Linked DNA regions of Schizosaccharomyces pombe. The protein of the gene in region 1 interacts with the protein of each later gene in a pairwise test. Each region holds a gene or a part of one and is shown on either strand. Other genes may lie near its edges.

Region 1 (9,680 bases):
TTTTCGAATCATAAAGCTCTTCATCCTGATGACCATATCTGTGAAGTCATGGTTCCATGGATTCCATCAGGAAAATCAATGGTGGATGAACTTAATTCTGATATTACTGAACTAAAAACAACCCTTAAAACAACTCTCTTAATGTATGGTGAAAATCCAGATGAACCTACATCGAGTGCTAGGTTTTTCAATAATTTAAACGAAATAATACTGGAGTACAAAAAGGCTAGCACTGTAAATCAGAAGATGGAGAAGGAAGAAGAACTTGCTTTTCTAAGACTACAAGCTTTAAAAGCATCTGTTAAAAGCAATAATGCAGAAAATAGTGGTTCTTCAAAGAATGAGGAAGTTTCAGCAACAATGGAAAATTTAATATCTCAGCTACAGAAAGGTTTGTGTGATGATTCTTTAAGCAACAAAACCGATTGCACTGAATCATCGAAACAAACAATCGAAACTCTAATGAATTATGAAAATGATAAACAAACTCTAGAAGGCTCAAATAAAAAGAGACAAACAGTCGTCCTTAAAGCTGAATGCATGCTTAAGCAGCTGGAGAATAACAATGAACTTAAGAGATAATGATGTTTGAAATGTTAATGACTTTTAATGACAATTAAATGACTTAAACAAATTATAATGAAATTATAATTAATAAAAGGTATAATTATTAATTCTAGTAAGACTGTAATGCTTGTTAAAGATAGAATTAAGCATCTAAAGGATAACTTTTCTAGTAATCTATTTTGCTCGGGAAATCTTAAAGTAATCAGTAAATACATCAGTTCCAACTTTTAATGATTCTTGAACGTCGTCCCAGGTACTACGCTTTTCCTCTTCTCGAGTTCCCCTATTTTTTTTGTCTTCTTTGAGCCATTCCAAACATGTCTCTAGAAGGGCGCTATTTCCCGTAGAGGACCTTGTCATCAGAGCACCAAACTTGGATATTGGTCCATAATCCACGATACGCCCAAGACTGAGATGGACCAAGTGAGTTGGCCACTCAGCTAAACCATCAAATATATGTGTTGCATAAACAATAGTAGCATTCCTTACTTCCGTTTCCTCTTGCAAAAAATTTAACAAATCTGCCCGGGCAAGAACATCCAAATCTACAGTTACTTCATCAAGTAAAAGTACTTCAAATGGACGCAGAAGTCCCATACATAGTTGAACACGTCGTCTTTCACCATCGGACACTGCATGCATTCGCCAACGAAGATCTATATCAAGAATTGAAATCAAGAAATCCCTACGTTCGGCAAATTTATCTCCTCCAACAGAAGCAATTAATCGTGCAACACTCATATCCCTATGTATAACAGGGTTGTTAACCCATTCTACAAACGCACACATCAGTAAAATTTGATGTTAAAAGAACTTACCAGTTCCTAAATAAACAAATGCAGAACTAGACTCACGAAAAGGATCTTTACCACCCACCGATATATGTCCTGCTTTCGCAAGCGATTTTCCAGATAAAAGTTTAAGTAAAGTTGATTTTCCTGTTTAACAAAATTCCAAGAGGACATCAGTTAGCATTTAAATATTCTTCATCAATTTCCATAACACCGCGAAACTTACCAGCTCCATTGGCTCCAACAAGTAAAGTCCTTGATCCTTTAGGAAGATCTAAAGTTACGTGATCAAGACTTAAAGGCTGCTTTGGAGAAAACGTGTAAGAGAGGTTTGAAACAGTTACTTCCATTTTGAAATAGAATGTTTTAACAGTAGTAAAATATAATTATCTAAGAACTTAGTTTTACAATATATAAAGGATCCAAAAAAAGGCGCAAATTAAATAACACTCAAACTTTGTGGGTTAGCTGGATTGTGTTTAGTACATCTGTGTATCAAGTAAAGTGTGGAGGGAATGCAGTAAAGTTGTTATAAGCAAGACCTCGTACTAATAAATTAGCTTTCCAAGTCTTTGTAAAGAACCTTTTTTAACTATTAAGTAATGCTGCCCATATTTGGAGATGCTATTAAGACCTTGAACACACATCCTGCGGAGTCTTGGAAAGAAAAATGATTAACATCGATGGAACAATTGGCAAACAATATATATAGGAGATAGAAGCAGATAACATTTGTAATCAACTACAATTTATGCTACATATTATTTGGCTTAAAACTAAGTAATAATACTTTCCTAAGGTCACCCCATTTCGTTTAAGACAACAGACAAACCTAACATTCGCATGGAATTTTTTAACAGCAGGCGGACATTTCTCAAATAAAAAAATATAAATATAATATTATTTCATTCCTGCTAAACGATTTTAGCTTTTCAACGTAGTATTGCCCATATCATTAGACTTAATATATTAAACAACAAACAAACATCGATATGGGCGAAGGGCTTTATATAACGCGGTACGTAAAATAGTCTTACCTCAAACCGTTTTCTCACACCGTGATTTTAATTGAATTAAGTATTACTATTTTTCGGTTCTTTAACCAATTGTTTTAATTAGATAGTGTACATTTTTCGTGAAAAAAAAGAACCATTAATATCAGCACTTAATTATTCACTTTAATGAGCAGCAGAAGAAATGACTACCACTATGATGGAAACGACCACCAGTATCGTAGTCCTTTGAAATCAAACGTTGATCAAAACAGTTTTTATGAATCTAGTTATAGGAGCCGACAATCCTACCATCAAAGAACAAAAACACCCAGATCTAGTTATGATTCACCCTCTTCATCTACAAATTCCAAGGAACACAATTCTCCCTATCATTATAGAGTCCCTAGCAATAATTCAACAAGAGCGTCTTTTGGGGCAGCTTCTACGGATACGAATGTAGAATTGCCGAAGATTAATCTTCCAGACTCGAGTTTGTCAAGTAAACTTCAAAGCTGCAAGTCTGCGTGCGAGAATTCATCCCAGAGTTTATTGAATGTCGAACAACAATACGCTCAACAAGTACATTTTTGGGAAAAAATTAGAACGGATATATACCGAGAAGGTCTACGTAGTGATGCAGCTGTAAAAAGCTTAAACGATTTTGTAAATAATGTCAGCTTCTAAATAAATTATTGCAATCATCGTCTGCGTACAAATCATTGAGCTTCCGCTTTGTGGATATTATTATGACTTTTTATTGAAAGTTTTATCCCAAACCCATATTTATAAACATGAATGTTTTTGTATAGCGTTTTTTTTTTTAAAAAAAAAAAATAAAAATAAAAAAACGCTTCATACACTCTAAACATTCTCAGACTACTTCGGTTCTCTCCCTTTTAACGTATAATATGCATTTTAGATTTTCTGAAGTTTCATTACGGTGAAAGTGCTGTAATGGACACAGCGTTCTAAATGTCTTCTTTTTTAATTTTCAAAAACAAACTCGAAAATAACAAATTTTCGCCTTGCATATCCAATAAACGAATATGTCTATAGCCTTGTTGCAGTCTGTCAATCGGACAAGTAAAATTAGCAAATATAGAGTCATTTCCATTACTTCCTCGATGATGGACGAGAAATCGGATCATGGAATAAAAGTCATCACTAATTATACTCTCATAAACCATGGTTTCTCCCCAAAAAGGTCGAAATCCATTTTCGTGCACAACTTTGGAACACCAACGAAAAGGAGATTCTTCCATTGAATGAACTTGGATCTCAACATAAGGGCTGAGAGTTTCAGAATTAGAAAGTTCTCTAGCTCTTCTAAGTTGTTGCCCAGATATGACATCTATTGTTAATTTTATTTTACGAGGAAGTCCTTCTTCGCCAACTGTTGTACCAATTATTCGTTGACAAGGTGGCTTTAACAAGTACCCAGTCGGAGGATCAGCTATAAACAAAGCATCATTTATTTGAAGACCTGTATCATAAGTTTGCCAGTTTAGAGCAACCATTTGCACACCCAGGCGCCAATACACCTGAGGATTAAAATTTGTACTTCCTACTCTCAATGGGCCAGGGTATACACGACACAAATAGCGTAAATTATGTTTGCTAAGTCTTGGAACCATAGCTTTTCCATGCTTTTTTATAGTCCTTTCCGAAAATGAGAATATGTGGCTATACGTTTTTGATTCCGGTAAAGAAAAATTTCGAAATTTCAATGATCGGGCATAAGGTGCAAGCTGTTGCAATTCCTGCACAATGATATTTTTCATCCGTCTTTTACCTTTCCTTAACCCTGTTAATTCTGAATTTTCTAGCTCCGATGATTCGGTAGTATCAGTCGAAGAATCAGTTATCCCAACCTTCAGTATGTCTGTCGAAAATTGGTGCAATGGTGTTGCTGAACATTTGACTTTCAGCAAAATTTTGTTCAGTAAATCTTCGGGTGAAGGAAGAACTGATTCGTTAGCGGTAACGGGTTTCATCACCAAAGTATCCCCAAATGCTTGTTTCATGTAACTAACCATTTGACGTTGTTGGTCAGGGCAGCAATGAATTTCCAAAGAAATGAATAATGGATAAGGTGAAACGACGAAAGCATATTTTCGTATAGCATCAATAACATCATTAAATTTTATCATAGAAGTAAATGTATGTCCATGACAAACTACAGGACCATTCGGTCCATCCCAGCAATCGATTTCAATACACTTGCAGCCACGCTGTAGCGAACGGATATAACCTTCAATTGAACTTTCTCCACCAAACTGCTTACCTAGTAAATAAGTGTTATGCGACGAAGAAATTAAGTATTCATTCAGTGGTCGCGACATATCTTGTATCACAGGAACTACTGGAGAATTATGAGGAGAAAGTAGAAAGGAAGTAAATTCTATCAAACCCATTTTTGAATCATCATTTGAGCAAAAAGAGACATACAAAGTCCTAATTGAGTCACTATCCAAACGAGCCTTTTGAGAAGTTGATAGAAAGTGACGAAACTGTTCCAAAGACATCTTGTCAGAGCCAGATGTATATTCTTTAAAAATATCTACAATCTCGGATCTTGTTTTTAAAAGGCTTACAAAATGCTGAAATTCTTCAAAACTTAGCTTTCCAGAATGATCAGCATCTGCCTTTTGAAATGTTTCTTCTAAAAACTCCATTGATGCATTCAAATGTAGCATTTGGCACATGCGATGCACGTCTCCTAGATCCAACTGTGCACTTTGCTCCTTTTCTAACTTTTCCCAGGGATTTAAATTCTCTGAATAATCTATCATTTTTTCACCTTGATGGCAAACGAGATTAAGTCCAATAATAAATTCATTCAATCGATAAGTTTTTAGACCTTCTAAAGCCATAATCCATTGATTATGCGCATCTAAAGTTGGAGATATCATATGCATAGCCTTTAATTTATTATCAGCACAATATATAATTGTGAACCAGCGTTTCTCGTTCTCAGAAGAAATTTTGTACTGTTCTCTATAATTACGAGCATCGCGGCCCTGTCGAATTTCTTTAATGTCATCAACACAAAGCTTCTTATAAGCTTTACCAGTATTCTTGTCCAGCATAAGATATCCAGATATAGGGTCTAAAGAGACTTTACGTTGGCGCACCTTTTTCTTGGTTATACGAAGTAAAGAGCATCCGTTTTGAATAGATTCAGGGACTATAGTAGCTAATAGCTGTCGAGAATTAAAGTTTTGATTCACCGAGCTCAGAGTAGATAAGTTTTCGTTACTATCGCATGAGTAAGGGTTCATTGAAGTATTTGTTCTCGCAGAATTCATTCGACCTTGCAAGCGTAGCAAAAGATTTAACTTCAGAGAAAGCCAATTCAATCCTCCATGGAATTTATTTTCTGAAGCTGATGTCGATTTCGTACTCAGAAAAGAAGATAAAGAATTTGATCGTTTACGTAGAGTACTATGAGCATCGCGATCCCTTGATGATAGCATCTTAAAGAAATCCTGCTCCGATTTCTTCCTATTGCCAACATATGGGAGATCCAAAGCAGCATTATCTAAGGTTTTACTCCTCGTCTGAGCAACTGCGTTTTCTGAGCAATCGGGCAGGCAAAATGGACTTACTGCTCTGTTGGAGTCTCCTAAGTTGACCGATTCAGGCGACGTTACCATTTCACAATTCATTATGATATCTATTTAAGGATTTACACCGCCATTGGCTTTTTGATCATTATGTTGATATTTAAAAGTTCTTCGGTTTTTCGGTTTTCATTCAGCAACAATACGCCGTGTATGTGTCAATAAAGATAAGTGGATAGCACTCAAAATTGCATATGAGCATAGATTCAATCCACCACTTTAAATCAAGTAAGCCTGATATTATTATAGGGACAAAAATTAGTTGTTTTCGGAACTTTTACCTCTTATATCGTAGGAGCTTACATCCGAGACTTTTGTTAACGTTAGTGGCAAGCGCGCTTTGGTTTAATACGCAATTATGAATAAGAACGTGTTCAATCACAGAAAATCGATTATCGGAAACGCTGTGACTATCACTAAGATGAATTGCAAACAATCGAGTTCGAGAAAACCGTTGGGCTTTATTCAATTGATCTGCGTTTTTGTTCACTCATTAAAAGCCATTTCTCTGAGTATTACTATGAATGGTTTTTTTCTGTTTTATTTTACACTAAAGTGATGATAGAAAAATTAATTTATCAATTAGTAACTAAATATTCGATTGCTCATAAGGAACTCACTGTTCATGTTAACGAATGAAGTTTAATATCGTCGGAAATTAATAGCCTCTCAAACATTTATTTCTTATACTGGTTTATTTTGTTCCCGATTAAAAGTAATGTAGATAATTTTCTCGGAACGTTTCTAAGTTATAATGTGTTCAGTCAACATAGTCTAATGGCCTAGTTTAAACTCTCATCCAAATAATTCTGATAGAGCAAGAACTTGGTGCAATTAAACTAGTGCATATCGACAGTCATTTTTATTTTATCAAACCCTAATACTTACCATTTCAGTAACTTAGAAGGTAACCTCAAAGCATCAACACCTTGAGAATCGTTTGAAGCAGTACTTAGTTTATTGAAAAAATTTGGCAAGGTTAACTCCTAAAGGCGACTTCACAACCATTTATAGAGAAGAACGAAAAATTCCAGATTGCAAATAAGGTGTTCATAGTATTTGCAGGCTTGAAACAACATAAAATCGATTTGGTCTTTAATGGAAACAATCAGAACCTTATTTACAACATAGGAATGAAGAATTACAGTAGCTTAATAATATGTTAATGTTTTAAGAAGTTGTTGTGTATTGCTGGAATTCATGGAAATAGTGTTACTATCGCATTTTATTATTGCAATATATTGTTACACGTTAACTCAACTATTTTCTATTAATTACAGTAAGAATAAGGACCCGTTCATCATGACTATTGCTAGTATTTTTTTTTACAAAAAATCTTCAGTAAGGAGGATACTCGTTTTTTGGGTGGTAGTGTTTTGTTAATACGCTCCATGCATGTACTTGTTGACACGTCCAAAGCATTGTTGCTTAGATTTTTTGTTAATGGCTGAAATACAGACAGCTCAAAATCCTTTAAAGGAACTGGAGAAAATTTTAGAGAGGAATAATAAGCAAAAAAATAAAAAGAGCAGAAACCAAGTTCGTCGAGAGAAAAAAAAATTACTACGTGAAAAGACAAATTCTGGTGCTAAATTGGCAGAAAAAAATAGTGATGACAAGGACCAGTTGACTGAAAATAATGACAACCTATACAATGATAAAAAATCTAATGGAAACTTCTATGATACAAACAAAACTGATAGTGTTGACGGGATGGTCTATACTACAATCGTCGATTCTGTAGAATTAGATCCTAATGATCCGCTAATAGAGCAATTTAAAGATGTCTTTAATCGTTTCAAAGCTGATGGTCAAGAAAAAGATTTCGAAGATACCGACAAGGGCCAAATAATGTATTCTGACGATGAAATTTTGAGTGAAGGCGAAGAAGACGCTTTACAAAAACAACAGGAGGAAAAACTTAGTAAAAAGAAATTGAGAAAGTTAAAAAGGATGACTGTTGCTCAACTGAAGATGCTCTCCGAGAAAGCAGATGTCGTCGAATGGTGGGATGTTTCGTCGCTTGATCCTTTATTCCTCACACATCTAAAAGCATATCCTAATACTGTTCCTGTTCCCCGTCATTGGAACCAAAAAAGAGATTACTTGAGTGGCCAAAGAGGTATAGAACGTCAACTCTTCGAGTTACCCTCGTATATTCGTGCTACTGGCATAGTTCAAATGCGTAATGCTGTGCATGAAAATGAAGCTGATATGCCTTTGCGTCAAAAAATGCGTGAGCGTGTCCAACCAAAAATGGGAAAGCTTGACATTGATTATCAAAAGCTTCATGATGCCTTCTTTCGCTACCAAACAAAACCGGTGCTAACCGGTTTTGGCGAATGCTATTTTGAAGGAAAAGAATTAGAAGCTGATGTGAAAGAAAAGAGGCCCGGCGACATTTCGGAGGAGCTCCGTGAAGCCTTGGGAATTGCTCCAGGAGCACCTCCTCCTTGGTTATTTGCTATGCAGAGATACGGGCCTCCTCCAAGTTATCCAGATCTTAAAATTCCCGGTGTGAATTGTCCAATTCCGACTGGAGCGCAGTGGGGATTTCATCCTGGTGGTTGGGGAAAACCTCCTGTGGACCAATTTAATCGTCCTCTTTATGGCGACGTGTTTGGTAATGTCAAACCTCGAATACATGCTGGTACAGGTTCGCCTGTGAGCACTCAGCATTGGGGTGAATTGGAGGAGTTTGAGGAAGAAGAATCTAGTGAAGAGGAAGAGAGCGAAGACGTAGAATATCCTACTGAAGAAATTACTGAACGTGAAACGATTGAGGAATATCAGTCAGCGTCAGAGCCTAGGTCACAGAGGGAAGATTTGCATGCAGAGCCCTTAACGTATTTTAATCAATCTAATGTAGAGGTTGACAATGTTGAATTACGAAAAAATACTCAACCAAGTAGTGATGCTGCTAATCGAGACTTATATCAAGTTTTACCTGAAAAATCTACTAATATCTCAGGTTTCATGGGTCCTCAGCATCAATACGACATTCCTACCGCTGAAGATACTCTTCCACAAAAAAGGAATGCACATTCCATGCTCTCATCAACCAACAAAGGAGATGTTGCGTTAAATCAAAGTTCTAATTGGCAAGATGAGCTTTCGGAGTTGGTGTCTGAGCAGGCTATGAAGGTTGGTGCTGCGAAACGACAGAAAACACAAAGCAAGAGAGACAAGTTTCGTCTTTAAATTATTATCTACAGTGTACATTAGTTAATCTATATGACAGTATTATTGTTAAGCTCCATACATTATTCAAGTATTAATTATTATTTGTAAGTGAAAATAAAAAAAACCCCAATTTATACCCTAGCTAAAATATATTTTATATACTGTTTTTTTGAAGATGGAAGTCTTTGTGACTATATTTTTCCTTGATCTTTGCACGATACTTTGATTTCTTCAATACTGGCAAAGATGGAGGAACCATTGCTCTTTGTTGTAAACTTAAATAGCGATCGGCAAACAAATTTCCTTCAGGCTTCAGCTCTCTAAGGGAACTAGTCAGCTCATCTCCCAACTTTATTTCAAGTGGGTTGTTAGGCAATCGATGTTTACCGAATTTTTTCTTCTTCAGTTTGATTTCAGTTGTGCTAGAAGAAACAGCCTTATTAGAGAATTTCTCAGCTTTATCCTTTTGCTGCAGTTTTTTGGATATTGCAGGAGCTTTGTCGATCGTCCTCAGAAGCTCT
Region 2 (4,275 bases), 1.2 Mb from region 1:
AGTCCCTACATTCTTTTAATAACGATAAAGATGTTTTAGTCATGCTGGTTTCATTGAAAGCCGGCAGCGTGGGTTTGAATTTGACGATTGCAAATCACGTTATTCTACAGGAACCATTTTATAATCCGAGCATAGAGGATCAAGCAATAGATCGTGTTCATCGGCTTGGACAGCAGAAGCCTGTCACCGTGTATAGGTTTATTACTAAAGATACGATTGAAGAGCGTATCGTCAGTGTTCAACGTAAGAAGCGTCAATTGGTTAAAGAAGCTTTGGATTCAAACGAAAACAATCCTCTGTCGAGACTTGACAAAGAAGAGTTGCTATATCTATTTGGGCTTAATTCATGATTATTTAATGTTAACGTTACTCAAATGAACTATACTCTACTGCATACTAAACTAAACGTTAAAAAAAGGGGTGGTGTAGTGTAACGCATGTACAATGTATAATAATAGTATGCTTTGATGGTTTTAAGGCCACAAAGCCAAACTAACTACTCATGAAACGTAATCAAAGTTATAAATTTATAAATGATAGAAATAAAGTGCAAGAAGAATATAATGAAGATAACTTTGTTATATGGCTACGAATATTAGATAAATCATAGGTATCAGTTCATATATGCAAAAGTAATCAGACCATTAGGATCCGTTTACTGATAAAATGCTAACGCTTTAGTTTCAAGCTTTAACAGTGTCAGTCGTAGACTCTTTGGGCTCGGGATGTTCGTTTTCAGAAGCAGCAGCGGCAGCAGGAGCCTCCTCCTTAGCAGACTGGTTGTATTCGGCGTCAGAAGTCCATAAAGTCAAGTTATCGCGAAGAAGCTGCATGATTAAAGTAGAGTCTTTGTAAGATTCTTCAGAAAGACTATCGAGCTCTGAAATGGCCTCATCAAATACTTGTTTAGCCAAATGGCATGCACTTTCTGGAGAGTCAAGGATTTCATAATAGAAGACGGAAAAGTTGAGAGCCAAACCCAAGCGCATAGGGTCCGTGGGAGGCAACTCAGCAACAGCAATGTCAGAAGCTGCCTTGTAAGCTTCTAAAGAGCTGTCGGCGGCCTCTTTGCAAACTTCGCCAACAGTAAATTCGGCCAAATAACGATAGTAATCACCCTTCATTTTATAGTAAAATACCTTGGATTCACCGGTTGTAGCGGCAGGAATCAAATGCTTTTCAAGGACGGAAAGGACGTCATGACAAATATCGGATAACTCATCTTCAATCTTCTTACGGTACTCTTTAATCAATGCGGCTTGTCGAGTGTTGCCCCTACTTTCCTCCTTTTGCTCTATAGAGGAAATAATACGCCATGATGCTCTGCGAGCACCAATGATGTTTTTATAGGCAACAGAAAGCAAGTTACGTTCTTCAACAGAAAGTTTATCGTTTGAGCATGCAACTTTCTTCATATTTTCGACCATTTCTATACATTATCAGTTAGCAAAGAAGCAAAAACAAAAAGGAGAGATGAAAGAAGCAAAGCCAAGTATAGACGGGTCAACAAACAGTAATTCAAAACGAGTTATCATTGCATGGTGAAGATATGAAGGTAATAATATCCTTAATTGCGTTGAGGTTTACCTACAGAACGGTGTTTCGTGTTACTCCTGATGTTAGTGAATTTCTTTGTCTTGGTGGTTACAAAGAAACCTCAAATCATAAGAGGAGATAAGAATGATAAGACAATCAAGGCAGTTCAATCGTGGTTTTAAGAGAAAAAAGGAAGCAAGGTAGGAAATAGAACAAAGGCGACAAAAAATAATGATTACGAAAACCATAAAATCAAGAGAATTGCAAGCCGTTCTTGTCCATAACCTCAGATATCATAAACATGTCCAACAACAAAACAATGTTGTAAGAACTCATTTTAAACCTCATCAAGCGATTTTGGGGACATTTTAAAATACACAAGTCATCCACGTACTAACCCATAACCCCTCTTTTTCTCAGCCGCATCAAACAAACAACCTTGCAACATTCAACAACGCAACCTGTTCAAGACCAACAATATTAAAAAACCAAAGAACTCCCACATACAGTAGCAAACTGCAATATAATAACTTTTCATCAAGGTCCCTTCATTGACAATTTCGTACTATTACGCTATATCTACTTCCAACAGCGGATCCTTATCACATACCTTCGTAGCGTTCAGCCTGTTCGGCCAACTTGGCGAGATACACCGAGTTTTCACGAGAATTACTCATATTTGCAAGGAATTATTAAAAGCGGTGGTTAGTTGAGGTTGGTAGAAGTGAGAAAGGAAAGTTGGGAAGGTTGGTTGGTCAGCCGAATATATGACGGACTATACTGAGATTTATGGATATCTAACAGAAACATCACTACACCTCTCTTATTCTTTTACAATATCGTAAAAATACTTCTTACACGTATGATTAGGCTTCCAAAAACAAATGCCAAACAAATGCCCAGTGTCAATAGGAATTCGGTAGAAAACGCGTTTTTACTCACTGAATGAGGAATTGCTGTCTTAAAGTATGTTACAATAAGTTTTTCTTTCGAAAACAAGATACCAAGTATCAAACATAAGCGTGAAAGATTACAGTTAAAACAATGAGTGCAATAATTGAGGAAGCTTGACAGAAACAAGAGGCTTACTTTAGGGGCAAAGAAGTTTTAGAAGGTTTTTTATCACTCTATGCAGGAAGCTTCAAGAAGAAGGCGTTTTTCTTTAGTTTTCGATGGCATATGCGATATGCTTGAATATCCGTAGGAGGCGGCGAAATTCCATTATATTACATTGACTACAAAGGAGTACAGTGAGCTGAAAAGTGTGTGTTATTATGTAAGCTGCTTTTCGGCGTTGTCATCACAGATTGGTGATTACCGCAAACGGTAATTTTACGAACAAAAAAGATCAAATTACATTGTGCTGATTAATTGCTCCTTCAACTTGTGTATTTTAAACTTAATACTTCTTGGCTTAAATGTAAAGTTTTTTAATTCTCGTTGTTCTAAAATTGCATACTGCGTTTATCATAAACCTTTCAAGTTTCCCTGAAATTGTTTCTGTTATCCTGAAACAATACGATATTCTTATATGAAAAAGGTATGAGTTGATTTAAACAAGATAATACGACTTTATAATTTCAGGGTTATTGTTCGCTCATTTCACTTACACGTTTGATGGGGTTTCTACTGCAATGCTGCAGTCCCGTTGTGGGCAACTTGATTGCGCGGTAATACGAAAAGTAGGATTTTAAATTGTTACAAGGGACAATCTGGTTGGGATAAGATTTTTTATAAGTCGCGGTACTTATTTTGTCTAGTAAACAAAACCGTCCTCTTATGTGCAACTTCAGCAGAATTTACTAACCAATTCTATTCATCCTTACAAGAAAATAATTAATTTGCACCAATTTGAACCTGGTTCAATATGTGTAGGCCGGAAATGAATTTAATTATGCTGCATTGGATTCTTACAAATACACTTCAAAAATATTGATGAAATTAAACAAAACTATGCTTAAAGATACTGTATTTTGTCTGGTATATGATTTGGGGGTCTTTAAAAAATTGCCTTCCATATCAATGATAAGCGTCTTAGCTGCCACACCTCAACAACACATCTCTAAAAATTGGCATTTCCTCTGTTGTTTGAGTTTTGTGAAATTATTCTTTAAATATTTTTAATAAATTCAAACCTCTCAATCAAATGTGGGCAGAAATCCTCTCTTTCTCACCAATAGAGTAATTATATAAATAATCCACAAACCGTTAGTTTGTTAAACCAAACGCTATTCGATCTCTTTGGCATTATAACTATTTTGATAAACCAAGAATAATACATTCATTGCTATACAACCTGTCAATTCTTAGCATCCATAATCCTGTTTGAATTATGCCATCCAATACATCCCGGTCAGTGCCTACGGGCTTTTATTACAAACAAAATGCTAGGATGCAGAACAGGCCTAGATTTTCTGATCGTAAACACTCGAGTAAATCTAAACATCGATTTCCAGTGGACCCTAGTTTGCAACCAGACGAAGCGGATGAGGGAACAAGATTATTGGGAAACAGTGATAGTGATCTATTAGAACCACCGTCTGAGCATTCAAGTAATGGGGAAGATGACAAGGATATTAATAACCCTCCTTCAATGCCTAGTTCTGTTTGTTCTTCCCCGAAAAGTCCACACCGTCACTATGAAAGCGATGAAGACATCGAAAATATATCACTGCCGGAAAGCCATCCAGAGGACATTCAAAGGAAAGAATTTGAGACGGAAAATGGGAAGAATACAAG

What was found.
Region 2: the proteins of plc1 (region 1) and rad25 interact in a two-hybrid assay, tested with the Schizosaccharomyces pombe proteins (one study listed by BioGRID).

Annotation. Positions count from the first base shown.
Region 1 is NC_003424.3:4,804,127-4,813,806, reverse strand, and holds plc1 (phosphoinositide phospholipase C Plc1), read right to left. Parts: upstream 6,237-9,680; 5' UTR 6,022-6,236; coding exon 3,322-6,021; 3' UTR 3,038-3,321; coding exon of another isoform or gene 2,540-3,037; 3' UTR 2,252-2,539; downstream 1-2,251. Other genes in the region: formin Fus1, read left to right, coding at 1-582; CCR4-Not complex subunit Caf16, read right to left, coding at 742-1,340, 1,386-1,505, 1,585-1,708; histone H2B-K119 ubiquitin ligase complex (HULC) subunit Shf1, read left to right, coding at 2,540-3,037; putative U2 snRNP-associated protein Sap145, read left to right, coding at 7,420-9,177; rRNA processing protein Rrp16, read right to left, coding at 9,314-9,680.
Region 2 is NC_003424.3:3,582,567-3,586,841, forward strand, and holds rad25 (14-3-3 protein Rad25), read right to left. Parts: upstream 2,276-4,275; 5' UTR 2,214-2,275; coding exon 2,147-2,213; intron 1,430-2,146; coding exon 684-1,429; 3' UTR 562-683; downstream 1-561. Other genes in the region: rrp1 (ATP-dependent DNA helicase), read left to right, coding at 1-350; vacuolar CorA family magnesium ion transmembrane transporter Mnr2, read left to right, coding at 3,869-4,275. UniProt on the Schizosaccharomyces pombe protein: Acts in cell cycle and stress checkpoint signaling by sequestering signal transducers regulated by the checkpoints. Required for the DNA damage checkpoint that ensures that DNA damage is repaired before mitosis is attempted.